Anolis sagrei: one gene and its partner. The protein of the gene in region 2 purifies or fractionates together with the protein of the main gene of each other region. This does not show direct contact. Links are inferred from orthologs where the notes say so. Each region holds a gene or a part of one and is shown on either strand. Other genes may lie near its edges.

Evidence for each region. Proteins that work in one complex are often made in the same cells at the same time.
Region 1: the proteins of U2AF2 (region 2) and SNRPD1 fractionate together in Homo sapiens (co-fractionation; 3 studies listed by BioGRID, with this or other methods). This does not show direct contact. The link is inferred for Anolis sagrei from reciprocal best matches to the Homo sapiens genes U2AF2 and SNRPD1.

The regions. Positions count from the first base shown.
Region 1 is NC_090026.1:77,913,449-77,920,912, forward strand, and holds the start of SNRPD1 (small nuclear ribonucleoprotein Sm D1), read left to right. Parts: upstream 1-4,428; 5' UTR 4,429-4,608; coding exon 4,609-4,622; intron 4,623-7,464. UniProt on the Homo sapiens protein: Plays a role in pre-mRNA splicing as a core component of the spliceosomal U1, U2, U4 and U5 small nuclear ribonucleoproteins (snRNPs), the building blocks of the spliceosome.
Region 2 is NC_090026.1:17,873,500-17,881,127, forward strand, and holds the start of U2AF2 (splicing factor U2AF 65 kDa subunit), read left to right. Parts: upstream 1-4,625; 5' UTR 4,626-4,927; coding exon 4,928-4,976; intron 4,977-7,628. UniProt on the Homo sapiens protein: Plays a role in pre-mRNA splicing and 3'-end processing. By recruiting PRPF19 and the PRP19C/Prp19 complex/NTC/Nineteen complex to the RNA polymerase II C-terminal domain (CTD), and thereby pre-mRNA, may couple transcription to splicing.

The DNA.
Region 1 (7,464 bases), about 60 Mb from region 2:
GCCGAATGGATTGGGGTAACTCCGCCCCTTCAAAAAAAGGAAAACTCTTCTTTGCACCAACGAGGAACGGAGTGAAAGAGCAAGGAGCGTTTTGATTGGCTCGGCTTGGCAAAAAGAAATGCCTCACTCAGAACTCCACCCCTGGTTTTGTTTCCAGCCACTAGAAACGTAGCAGGCGGAATGTAGAATGCAATTGGGGAAAAGGGGTCGTCAGGCAGGGCCAGTGGCGCAATGGATAACGCGTCTGACTACGGATCAGAAGATTCTAGGTTCGACTCCTGGCTGGCTCGGCTAAATTTTTTTCTTCTGTGAAAAATTAATATTTTCATTTAATGAATCGTGTTGCATCAGTGTAGATTCTCTGGGAGTTCCAGTTTGGAAAAATGGATGGTCATAACCATTTTTCTCCGAAAATAAAAAACAGCTTTGCAGTTTGCTGGTTATATAGGAATTTGACATTTCAAATCCAAACCCTCAGATTTTTCTCCTAAACTCCTTCTACACTTCGACAATACATCCTTCTACACTGCCATATAAAATCCAGATTATCTGCTTTGAACTGGATTATATGTCAGTGTAGATATAATGCCCATTATCTGCTTTGAACTGGATTATATGAATTTTCAATTATATATAATCCAGTTCAAAGCAGATAATGGGCCTTACATGCGTTGAATTATCTACAGTCATATAATCCAATTTGAACAGCATTATAATGGTAAATGTAGACTCATAATGCAGATTGAACCTCATTGAACTGGAATATTTATTTATTTATTTACAGCATTTATATCCCGCCCTTCTCACCCCGCAGGGGACTCAGGGCAGATTACAGTGTACATATATGGCAAACATTCAATGCCAATTTGACTTACAACATGGATGAGAGCTAACAAATTGAAATTGAATCCAGACAAGACAGAGGTCCTACTAGTCAGTCGTAAGGCCGAACAGGGCATAGGGTTACAGCCTGTGTTAGACGGGGTTACACTCCCCTGAAGACGCAGGTTCGCAGCTTGGGAGTGATCCTGGACTAATCGCTGAACCTGGAACCCCAGGTCTCAGCGGTGGCCGGGAGAGCTTTTGCACAATTAAAACTTGTGCGCCAGCTACGCCCGTACCTTGAGAAGTTGGATCTGGCCACGGTGGTCCACGCACTTGTTACATCCCGGATAGATTACTACAACACACTCTTCGTGGGGTTGCCTTTGAAGACTGTTCGGAAACTTCAATTAGCCCAGCAGGAGGCAGCGAAATTACTCACCGGAGCGTCATACAGGGAGCATACCACCCCGTTATGTCAGCTCCACTGGCTGCCGATCCAGTTCTGAGCACAATTCAAAGTGCTGGTTTTGACCTACAAAACCCTATACCAGTGTTTCTCAACCTGGGGGTCGGGACCCCCAGGGGGGTCACAAGGGGTGTCAGAGGGGTCGCCAAAGACCATCAGAAAACAGTATTTTCTGTTGGTCATGGGAGTTCTGTGTGAGACATTTGGACTAATTCTGTACTTGGTGGGGTCCAGAATGCACTTTGATTGTAGGTGAACTATAAATCCCCGCAACTACAACTCCCAAATAACAAAATCAACCCCTCCAACCCCGCCAGTAGTCAAATTTGGGCGTATTGGGTATTTGTGCCAAGTTTAGTCCAGTGAATGAAAATACATCCTGCAGATCAGATATTTACATTACGATTCATAACAGTAGCAAAATTACAATTATGAAGTAGCAACAAAATAATTTGATGGTTGGGGGTCACCACAACATGAGGAACTGTAATAAGGGGTTGCGGCATTTGGAAGGTTGAGAACCACTGCCCTATACGGTTCCGGCCCAGCGTATCTGTCCAAACGCATCTCCCTCTACGTCCCACCTCGGAGTTTAAGATCTTTCGGGGAGGCCCTGCTCTCAGCCCCGCCTTTATCACAAGTGAGATTGGCGGGGACGAGGAGCAGGGCCTTCTCGGTTGTGGCCCCTTACATATGGAATTCACTCCCCGGGGAAATTAGATCATCGTCATCCCTCCTCTCCTTTAGAAGGAAATTAAAAACATGGATTTGGGACCAGGCGTTTGGGCAATCTGGCAGATAAATAAAGGACAATGACGATTGATAGGAATGGAAAATGTGGAATGAAGCTATGGACTCTGAGTTGCGAACGTTGAGCATAAGATTGTTTTTATTGACTGTGATATATATTGATTGTTCTTAACTGTTATAACTGTTTTTAATTGCTGTCTATATCTTATCTGTATTACTATTTTGTAAGCCGCCCTGAGTCCCCCCTCGGGGGTTGAGAAGGGCGGGGTAGAAGTACACAAAAGAAAGAAAGAAATAAAACATATACAGACATAGACAGAGGCTATTTAACTTTTTCTGGCTGCCAGGGGAGCTGTCGCTTTCATCGTCCATCTGTGACACTGATGAAGTACTTCCGCATTCCCCGCATGCTTTTTTGCTGGAATGCTTTGCTGGAGTCTTTTTTGTGGCCTCGTAAATTAGCTAATTTAGCCTCCCCACACTTTAAGGTGGTACCTAATTTTCCTACTTGACAGATGCAACTGTTTTTCGGGTTGCAAAGGTTGACAACAGGCTACACACAATTGGTTGGAAACCCACTCCAACCCGGGCTGGCTTCGAACTCATGACCTTTTGGTCAGAGTGATCTTAATGCAGCTGACACTCAGCTAGCTGCGCCACAATCCCGGTTATAATCCAGTTCAAAGCAGATAATGGGCATTACATGCTTTGAATTATCTACAGTCATATAATCCAATTTGAACAGCATTATAATGGTAAATGTAGTCTCATAATGCAGATTGAACCTCATTGAACTGGAATATATGAGTCTACCAGTGTTTCTCAACCTTCCTAATGCCATGACCACTTAATACAGTTCCTCGTGTTGTGGTGACCCCCATCCGTAACATTATTTTCGTTGCTACTTCAAAACTGTAATTATGCGACCATTATGGCTCGCAGTGTAAATATCTGATATGCAGAATGTATTTTCATTCACTGGACCAAATGTGGCACAAATAGCTTATATGCCCAAATTTGAATACTGGTGAGTTTGGGGGGGGGGGGTGATTTTGTCATTTGGGAGTTGTAGTTGCTGGGATTTATAGCTGACCTACAATCAAAGAGCATTCTGAACCCCACCATCAAAATTGGGCCAAACATTCCACACAGAAAATACTGTGTTTTCTGATGGTCTTTGGTGACCCCTCTGACCCCCCTTCGTGACCCCTCCTGGGGTCCCAACCCCCAGGTTGAGAATCACTGGTACACTGATATAATCCAGTTCAATCCACATTCTGTGGCAGTGTAGATGAGGCCTCCTTGTGTTACCATGATAGAGCCAAGACCAAACCCTGATCTCACAGTGTCTGAGTCCAACATTCAAACCATGACACCACACAGTCTAATCCCAGACATTTTGTGGATATGCAAAATTGTGGATAATAGTGAATCATTTTGGAATGAATGCCTTCTTGCCCAAGAAGGCATTTGTCATTTTTAAAGTTTTTGTCCTTTTTATTTTATTTATTTATTTACCTTACTTATATACCGCTGTTCTCAGCCCGAAGGCGACTCACAGCGGTTCACAACAAATACGAACAGCAAAAATTCAGTGCTACAGTATAGAAACAGTTAACAACCTAACACATTACACGACCCATTCACTGTCGTCTCGTCATCAAAAATATGTTCCAGATTCGTCATCCATTTTTCCATTCCAGTGTTCATTAACCAATCATTGCACTAATTATTCGAACGCCTGCTCAAACAGCCAGGTCTTCACTTTTTTGCAGAATACCATTAGAGATGGTGCTAGTCTAATGTCCGTAGGAAGGGCGTTCCACAGCCGAGGAGCCACCACCGAGAAGGCCCTATCTCTCGTCCCCGCCAGCTGAGCTTGAGAAGCAGGCGGGATCGAGAGCAGGGTCTCCCCGGAAGATCTCAAAGTCCTGGTGGGTTCATAGGCAGAGATGCGGTCGGATAGGTAGCTTGGCCGGAACCGTTTAGGGCTTTAAAGGCCAACGCCAGCACTTTGAATTCAGCCCGGTAGCAGATCGGTAGCCAGTGGAGTTGGCGTAACAGCGAGGTTGTATGCTCCCTGCATACAACCTTTTTAAAAAGAGACCCAAAGCTTAACAATACAAAAAAAATACACAATTGAAAACCTAAAACATATCCACATAATTAATCATAGGGTTATTAGAATAAATAATTAAATTCACTGATGTTCAAGTGCTATAGTTACAGTGCATTATGTGGCAGCATAGAGGTGAGTCTGAGATATACTGTTTCCTCTCGTTTCCTTTTCTGCGCAGGCGCTCTAGCCATTCTCCCTACTGTATTATGCCTTCCTATCCGACAGGTGGCGCTCATTCTCAGCCCCCGCCGCCTTTTTCTCGTTCTCCTTCCCTGGCCGGAAAGAGAAAAGAGGAGACGGAGCTTCCGCTCATTCATCGCGCGCGCCCTGTGTGTTGGGAGTGCGTTTTCTTCTCAGCGAGTAACGGACGCGGCCTAGTCTCCGTGCTCAATTTTTGGTGGTTTATTCCTCACTCGCTTAAGCATTTTCGGCCTACACTTTTGCCGCCATGAAGCTCGTGAGGTAAGGAAGCGGGCTTTTTGTCAGAAGCCACGCGGGCCAAGCCTGGGGTCCTTGCTCTTGGCCTGCAGGCCTTTCCTAATGGCTCCCCACTGAGTTATTTCCCATGAATTTAGCATGAATGGGCATGGATGATAATAGTGGGATTTCCCACCTCCTTCTATTTCTTGTTTCTTCCAAAATTGTGTCACTCTTCATAGCTCAGTCATATTCCAAACTCTGATATAATCTCATATTATTATCTATCTATATAAAAATGCTTTGTGCATAATGAGTACCTTAAAAACAAAAGAACGAATGAACGAAATCGCACCAAATTTGGCAACGAAACGTCTCACTACACAGGGAGTGACCATCACTCAAAAATTATGATTTTGTCATTTGGGAGTTGTAGTTGCTGGGATTTATAGTTCACCTATAATCAAAGAGCATTCTGAACCCCACCAAAGATGGAATTGAACCAAACTTGGCACACAATTCTCCCATGACCAACAGAAAACACTAGAAGAGTTTGGTGAGCATTGACCTTGGGTTTTGGAGTTTTTTATTTATTTATTTATTTATTTATTTGGAGTGTTTCTACCCCGCCCGTCTCAACCCCCTAGGGGGGACTCAGGGCGGCTTACAAAAGGCACAATTCGATGCCTAACAATTCACAAAATACAGTACAATATACAATACACAAATTTACCATATAATGTCAACAGTTATAACTAATTAAAACAATCAAACAGTATACTAGCAGCAATAAAATCATCTTGTGGTCAGTGTTCGCCAATTCATAGTTGTAGTTCAGCTACATTTAGAGAGCACTGTGGACTCAAAGAATAATGGATCTGGACCAAACTTGGCACGAATACTCAATATGCCCAAATATAAACACAGATGGAGTTTTGGGGAAATAGACCTTGACATATGGGAGTTGTAGTTACTAGGATTTTTAGTTCACCTACAATCAAGGAGCATTCTGAACCCCACCAATGAAATTGGGCCAAACTTCCCACACAGAACCCTCATAACCAACAGAAAATACTGTGTTTTCTGGTAGTCTTTGGTGACCCTTCTGACACCCCCTCGCAATTCGCCCCCAGGTTGAGAAATGCTGCCTTAAGGCCATCCAGTCCAACTCCCTTCAGCAGAGCAAGAAAACATAAAGCCCTCCTGACAAAGAGCCATCCAGCCATAGATGTAGATAAATATATATAATTCACACACACACATGTCTATGTCAGATATAGTACCATAGATTTGAAAGGGACCCCTAAAGAAGGACAATTAAATGTTGCATGTTCCAGAGTAGGCAAACCAGACAATCTCCACATCAACACTGGCAAAGAAACAGCAAGATATACTGTTTACCCACAAGCATAAAGAAATTACATATATTAGAAACCAACACTTTCTCATTACTTTATTTTCCAGATCACCAGACTGGGCCACAGCAATGCATGGCAGGGGACCGCTAGTATTATATATAATATTAATAAAGTTGTACTATAATATATTCTATATCATGTATACTATAGCTTACTATATAATACAATATATTATATAATACTAATAGTATAATGTACTCGTAGTGCATTAGTTATATTGTGGTATAATATACTACAATGTAATAATACAATAACTGTATATTATATATTACATGTAATATGACTAATATTGCAGTGTTGTGATATAGTGCAATATAATATATAATACTAATCTGCTATAATCGAGAAAGGCAGGGAGTTTCAGAAAAACATGTATTTCTGTTTTATTGACTATTCTAAAACCTTTGACTCTGTGGATCATAATAAATTGTGGCAAGTTCTTGGTGGTATGGGCATACCAAATCACCTTATCCCTCTCCTGAGGAATCTGTATAAGGATCAAGTAGCAACAGTAAGAACTGACCATGGAACAACAGACTGGTTCAAGACTGGGAAAGGCGTATGGCAGGGTTGTATATTCTCACCCAGCCTATTCAACTTTTAAGCAGAACACATCATGTGATGTGCGGGGCTTGAGGAATGAGGTGAAAATTGCTGGAAGAAACATTAACAACCTTAGATATGCAGACGACACCACTTTGATGGCCGAAAACAAGGACAAGCTGAGGAGACTTCTAATCAAGGTGAAAGAAGAAAGCGCAAAAGCTGAGTTGCAGTTAAACAAAAAAAACCAAAATTATGGCAACAAGAATGATTGACAACTGGGGAGTAGAGGGAGAAAACGTGGAGGCAGTGACAGACTTTGTATTTCTAGATGCAAAGATTACTGCAGACGCAGACTGCAGCCAGGAAATCAGGAGATGCGTACTTCTTGGGAGGAGAGCAATGACCAATCTTGATAAAATAATGAAGAGTAGAGACATCACACTGGCAACAAAGATTCGCATAGTTAAAGCAATGGTATTCCCCATAGTCACCTACGGAAGAGCTGGACCATAGGGAAGGCTGAGCGAAGGAAGATAGATGCTTTTGAACTGTGGTGTCCATACTTCAGGAAATAAAGCCTGAATGCTCGTTGGAGGGAAGAATAGTAGAGGCAAAGATGAAGTACTTTGGTTACATAATTAAAAGACAGGAAAGCTTAGAGAAGACAATGATGCTGGGGAAAATGGAAGAGAGGCCAACCAAGGGCAAGATGGATGGATGGTATCCTTGAAGTGACTGGAATGACCTTGAAGGAGCTGGGGGTGGTGACGACCAACAGGGAGCTCTGGCATGGACTGGTCCATGAAGTCACAAAGAGTCGGAAACAACTGAATGAATTAACAACAATCTGCTATGCTAATAGTACATTATATATACATGTATTGATAATATTATAATGTAATACAATAGAAATACAATATGAG
Region 2 (7,628 bases):
GATCTACTCACATTTGCATGTTTTCGAACTGCTAGGTTGGCAGAAGCTGGGCTAACAGCTGGAGCTCATCCTGCTCCTTGAATTCGAACCGGCAACCTTTCGGTCAGCAAATTCAGCAGCTCAGTGGTTTAACCCACTGTGCCACCGGGGGCTCCCGGTAAATAGTTAGAAGTTGGGAAATGCATTTCCAAAGGGCCATAACGTCAAGTGAGGATGCAGTGGTCACATTTTTAGTCCTACTACTTAGTCTCCTTACAAAGTGTTTCTTGATGGAGGATTCAGACACTTCATGTACCATGCCATTATTCCATTGTCTTCTCCAGCCAGCTGAGTAATTAGACTAGACCTGAGAAGGCATATGGCTGGGTACCATTGCTCACCTTGCTTTGATGCTTTATAAGAGTTCTCTCCCTTCGGCTTTTCACTCTAATCTTCCTAAAACTGGAGGGATTAACTGCACTGTTCTGAGGTCTCCAGATACTTTCCTGCAACGACCCAAAACATTCCCATGCCCTGCCCATGTCCCATATCTTTTACCTCATAGTTGTGCCAGGCTTTTTCTTTCATTTCTGTGTGCCTATTACTGGCACACAAACAGGATTCTTTGTTTTGCTGCCAATTTTTGGTCATTTTCATTCTTTTTTTTTTTTGCTCCTTTTGTGTGAGCACTAATCATATACAGACTTGGTGCAGGCTTTGTCAACTGAGGCTGTTCAGGTGTTTTGGACTATCAATCCCATCACTAGCAAGGTGAATAGTTGACTATGATGAAGACTGTAGTCCAAAGTATCTGGAGGATGTAATTTGAGGAGGCTGATCTGCACATTTATGTCTTCAAGATACCACTGCGGGTATGTATGACAAAGACTGAATACAAGGATGTCATCAGTTTGCCTCTGGTTTTTGGGAATGCACTCTTGTTATTCAGTGTAATTAATGGGTTGTTTCCACTGTGCCTGTAATTTTTAACCCTGCCCCCTTTCCTCTTGTGTTTAAAAATATTTAAAAAAATAAAAAGTTTCAAATTCTATTTACTAAGATTTAAATTAAACTGTGTTTTGAATAAAAGTGAACAATGTCTGTGATGTATCTATTTATCTATAAATTGGTATTTCACTGCCTCTTTGGGAATGAACAAGGAGATTGGATTGGAATTCACAGCCAAGTATGTATTTTCTAGAGATCCTTGGATAAGTTCGGATTTAGTTATCAAACTGTGAAATGAAAACATTAATAACCTGGCATCACAGTTGAATTATGAAGGTAACATACAATATTCTGAAAGGAACATAGCTGTACAAAACATTTCTGTAACTTCACTAGGTGCATTTCTGTAACTTCACTGAATGGCTCATATTTGGAAGTGACTGGCAATCCATACCGTATAAGAATGCAAAGCCTCTGTTGGGTTACAACTCCTAACAGCCTCAGCCAACACTGTCAACAATGAGGGATGAATAGTCTGAAATCAACACTTGGAGGTCTACATATTTCCTCCACCCTACAATGAAAGATACATCAGGCATCCTTGGAGATTCATAGCCTAGTTAATCAGGATATGCATGCCAAGGGATCCTTATGGCACCTTTGAGATTAAGGCCACATATACACTACTACAGTATACAATGCAGTTTCAGACTGCAGTTCAATGGCATTGAAGTGCATTATATGGCAGTGTGGACTCAAAAAACCCCCGTTCAATGCAGTTAAACTGCATTCTGAAACTGGATTCTATTGCAGTGTATATGGGGGCTAACTCAAAACATTGGTAGCATAAGCTTTTGTGGATCAAGGCTGCATCAACACTGCAGAAGTGCAACAGTTTGATACTGTTAGGGAAAACTACCCAAAAATATAGCAGAGCATCCAAAACACAAACAGGATACTTAAAGTTGAGCAATCAGCCCACAGCAAGCAAAGCATGAAGTTGGGTTGTTGTAGATTTTTTCGGGCTATATGGCCATGTTCTAGAGGCATTTTCTCCTGAAGTTTCGCCTGCATCTATGGCAAGCATCCTCAGAGGTAGTGAGGATGCTTGCCATAGATGCAGGCGAAACGTCAGGAGAAAATGCCTCTGGAACATGGCCATATAGCCTGAAAAAAACTACAACAACCCAGTGATTCTGGCCATGAAAGCCTTCGACAATACAAAGCATGAAGTGCCATGTGATGTGGCTGCAAGGAATTTAGAACTTATGATGCAAAGATGCAGAATCTTGTCTTTAAAAAAAATCACAAAAAGTTTAACTATATTTCTTAAAAGTAAAGAACTGGGTCTGAGCTACTCTTAACACCCATCTCGTCTAAGGTTTCAAAGAGAGGGAAAAATCATCAACCACTACATCTCTCTTGACATACAAAGATCTCAATACACACAGCATATTCAAAGATGTAAAAGTAGAAGGTAAGGTCTTCAGTAGAAAAGTATAAATTATACACAACCAATTTTAGCAGAAACAGAGGAGAGCACAAATAGTTACATTCCAACTGTCATATAAGAGACTTGGGGGGGGGGGGGGGGAGGAAACCCTCAGCCTATTCTAAGTTAATTTTTCCTCGTTGAGGACTGGAGACTTAGGCAGTGTGGGGTTGAATTGCCGCAATGCTATGGAATTCTGGGGTGTGTAGTTTAGCAAGGTATTTTTCTTTTCTTTCAGAGAGCTCTGGGGCTACAGCAAACTACAATATCTAAGATCCCATAGGTTGGAGCTGTGGAGATTAAAGTGGTGTCAATCTGCATTCATTCTACAAGTCCTAGTAGCACTTTAGCACAATTAACACTACTGCACACCGTACTTTAATCCCTACGCCCCTCCTATCATTTCAGCACTTTTAACCTTGTACCCCTCTCGCCGGCCGAACCAGTTTTAATATGTCTTGATGTATTGTTATTGCTGTCTTGCCAATTTTTGATTTTGATTTGCTTTTTGATTTTGATTTGTTTTGTTATTGCTTGTTATGTTCTCTATTGTATTGTGTTTTGTGGCTTCGGCCTTTGTAAGCCGCATCGAGTCCTTTGGGAGATGCTCGCGGGGTACAAATAAAGTTAATAATAATAATAATAATAATAATAATAATAAATGCACCCTTAATTTATTCCATCAGAAGGCACAAGATTCCTTTGGGTGTCTCCTATCTTTGTAGTTCTCCATATTTTAATTATGCAGAAGTTAGGTGTTTTTAAAATAATCCGTTGGATTGAGGTGGTGGAGGAATGTATATTTTATTTATATTTGGAGAATTTATATTTTCTCCATTTAGTAGCATAAACGACAGGAAGTTGCCCTTCTAAGATCCAGAAACCGGAAATGCTTAATTCATTTGGGGGAAAAGCAATGGCACCAAATATGAATTAAGCTAATGAAATAAAAGGCTGAATGCTTTTGGGAGAATATAAAAATAAATTATATATTTTTATATTATATTTTCCATTACTTCCACCACGTGGTGGACTGGCTCCCTTTTGTGTCCAAATTTCTCCCAAAAAAAAAAAGAGACCCAAAGCAATTAAAGGGCTGGGTTGCTGTGAGTTTTCCGGGCTGTATGGCCATGTTCCAGAAGCATTCTCTCCTGATGTTTCACCTACATCTATGGCAGGCATCCTTGCTGTGAGTTTTCTGGGCTGTATGACCATGTTCCAGAAGCATTCTCTCCTGATGTTTCACCTACATCTATGGCAGGCATCCTTGCTGTGAGTTTTCTGGGCTGTATGACCATGTTCCAGAAGCATTCTCTCCTGATGTTTCACCCACATCTGTGGCAGGCGTCCTCAGAGGTTGTGAGGTCTCTTGGAAACTAGAGAAATTGAGTTTATATATCTGGATGTTGCAATTGGCCGCCTTGATTCGCATTTAATGGCATTGGAGTTTCAAGGTCTGGCTGCTTCCTGCCTGGGGGAATTCTTAGTTGGGAGGTAATAAGCTGGCCCTGATTGTCGAAGGCTTTCATGGCTGGAATCACTAGGTTCTTGTGGGTTTTTTCGGGCTATAGGGCCATGTTAGAGGCATTTCTCCTGACGTTTCGCCTGCATCTATGGCAAGCATCCTCAGAGGTAGTGAGCTGGCCCTGATTGTTTCTTGTCTGGAATTCTCCTGTTTTTGAGTGTTGCTCTTTATTTTGATTTTAGAGTTTTTAAAATACTGGTAGCCAGATTTTGTTCCTTTTCATGGTTTTCTTTCAGAAATGAACAAAATCTGGCTACCAGCATTAAAAAAACTTTAAAATAAAAAAACAGGAGTATTTCTCAGGATGCCTGCCATTGATGTAGGCGAAACGTCAGGAGGGAATGCTTCTGGAACATGGGCATACAGCCCGGAAAACTCAGCAACCCAGCGATTCCGGCCATGAAAGCCTTCTACAATACAGGGTTAGTCAAAATGCATAGGCCAATAAGCCATTCAATTGAATGGCTTATTGGCCTATGCATTTTGACTAACCCTGTACATTCAACTAAAGGGCGTCTGGTGGAAAAACCCAATAGCCCCGGAACCAATCGTTCGCTTTCCCTATTGTCAACATAACACAATGCAGGGAGGAGCCAAGAGCATGCGACACTCGAACACGGGCAGAGGAAGTGACGTTGGGAGGAAAAACCCGAACCTCTCCGGAAAAAGCCGAAGATGCTTTACAGGCGGGAGTGAGACGAGGCGGAGCGACCGCGAGGACGAGAATCGTGAGAGGAGGCTCTCTCGAATATAGCCGAACATTTCCGTCAGCACACGAACCTTTACGGAAAAAGCCGAAAAGGGAGTGACCGAAGTAGAGACGCGCCTTCGCACGCAGCCGAGCCTTTCCGTAACCAACCGAAGCCCTTGCCGGAAGTTGCCGAACTCAAGGAAAGGCGCCGTTGCGGCCTACTGCGTGAGGCGGCGGTGAAGCAAGCGGGCAGAAGAGCCAGGCCGGGCTTGAGTCTTATTATTCCGTCGCCATGTCCGACTTCGACGAGTTCGAGCGGCAGCTTAACGAAAACAAACAAGGTAAGCGAGCGAACGAGAGAGAGAGAGAGAGGTGGGCAGGGCGTGAGGGCGTCGAAATCCCGCCTGCTTCGGACGCGCCCCCCTTGGTGAGAATGGAAGGGCCCGTTTACCTGAGGCGGGCGCTACCATATGGCTGGGCCTATGCGGCGGGGGAGGGGGGGCGGGTATTGTCCTTCTTGTTAGCCAACTTCGCCTTTCTCCTCTTTCGCCTGATTTCCCGGGAGGCGAGCTATGGAGGCAGGCATGGCCGTTGGTGGCTCTGCGCACGCCTTTAACGGGGCGGGAGAAGGGAAGGCCGGGCCTGGCACCATCGCTCTCCCTCCTGGCGCCTTTTCTTTACTCTCTGGGAAGAACAGGGACAAAGGAGGGCCTTGATCTGGCTGATTGGGAGATTGCCACGCGGGAGTACACCACCAAAGTACTCCCGACAGATGGCCACCTGCTTAGAAACCTCCACAGCAAGCCTGGACCAACTTGGGCCTTCCTCCAGGTTTTTTGGACTCCAACTCTCACAATGTTCTCTCGAGGAAGTAGACTACAGAGTCACGCTGGAGGATCCAGCATGAGAAAATCTCTCTAGGTCCTCCAGTGCATTTCTGTGGCCAGCTTTCAGCGGAATACGACCACAGAGTTGTGCTGGAGGACCTAGAAAACCCCTAGAAAGATTTTCCCGGGGGTCCTGTCCATCTTACCCCAATAATAATAGTAATAATAATACCTCCAGGTTTTTTGGACTCCAACGCTCACAATATTCTCTCTAGGAAGTTGAGTATAGAGTCATGCTGGAGGATCCAGCATGAGAAAATCTCTCTAGGACTCTCTAGGTCCTCCAGTGCATTTCTGTGGCCAGCTTTCAGCGGAATATAACCACAGAGTTGTGCTGGAGGACCTAGAAAACCCCTAGAAAGATTTTCCCGGGCGTCCTGTGTGTCTTACCCCAATAATAATAATAATACCTCCAGGTTTTTTGGACTCCAACTCTCACAATGTTCTCTCTAGGAAGTTGACTACAGAGTCATGCTGGAGGATCCAGCATGAGAAAATCTCTCTAGGACTCTCTAGGTCCTCCAGTGCATTTCTGTGGCCAGCTTTCAGCGGAATATGACCACAGAGTTGTGCTGGGGGACCTAGAAAAACCCTAGAAAGATTTTCCCTCAGGTGAGAAAAAATTGCAATTTTTCAATTTTATTTATTATTTATTTATTTATGGCATTTATATCTCGCCCTTCTCACCCCGAAGGGGACTCAGAGCGGCTTACAATATATATTTTCATACAATATATTATATTATTAGCATAGTACAATATCAGTATATATTACTATATTGCACAATACCGTTATATTGTAGTATTATTAGTAATATTACATGTAATGTAAATATATAATTATAATTATAATATTGAATTATTATTACTAGTATTATATTATATTACATTATAATATTATAAATATTATATGTATATACAATATACTATATTATATTATTAGTAAAGACAAGATGGAAGTGTCTTCTGCTGCCTTCTGTCTTTGCTCTGGCCAGAACAGCCGTTAGTGCCAGAAGGGGGAGGGGCCTCTCAAGTGATGATATAGGCAGAAGACAAGATGGAAGTGCCTTCTGCTCCCTTCTGTCTTCACCTTTTGCGGGGGTCCTGTGTGTCTTACCCCAATAATAATAATAGTAATAGTAATACCTCCAGGTTTTTTGGACTCCAACTTTCACAATTTTCTCTCTAGGAAGTTGACTATAGAGTCACGCTGGAGGATCCAGCATGAGAAAATCTCTCTAGGACTCTCTAGGTCCTCCAGTGCTTTTCTGTGGCCAGCTTTCAGCGGAATATGACCACAGAGTTGTGCTGGAGGACCTAGAAAAGCCCTAGAAAGATTTTCCCTCAGGGGAGAAAAAATTTGCAATTTTTCAATTTATTATTATTATTATTATTATTATTAACTTTATTTGTACCCCGCTAGCATCTCCCGAAGGACTCGATGCGGCTTACACAGGCCAAGGCCTCAATAAAAACAACAACATAACAATACAATGATGTCCTTGGGGAGGGTGTTCCAAAGTCGGGGGGCCACCATAGAAAAGGCCCTGTCCCTCGTCCCCACCAAACGCGCCTGCGACGCAGGTGGGATCACGAGCAGGGCCTCTCCAGATGAACGAAGGGAACACGTGGGTTAATAGACGGAGATGCGGGTGTCCTGTGCATCTTACCCCAATAATAATAATAAACTATTTGTACCCCACTACCATCTCCCCAAGGGACTTGGTGCGGCTTACATGAGGCCGAGCCCACAATACATCAGCAAAAACAACAATAGCAATACAAACAATCTGAAACTCAAAAACAAAAAACAGCAGTAAACATTAACAATAGCACAACAACACATTAAAACCTATGGCTGGGCCAAATGTAATAATTTTTTTTAAAAAAAATAATGCTGAGCATGACCAGGTGAAATATGTAACTAGGATAGAATTTCGGAGAGGAAAGGGGTGTGAAGACAATCCTAGAACATTGATAAAGTGCATTTAGGGACATATTGCTAGGAGTTTCCTTATTCTGGGAAGGCACACTAGAACAGCCATGTCTTCAGGCTCCTCCTAAAGACTGCCAGAGTTGGGGCATGCCTGATGTCCTTGGGGAGTGA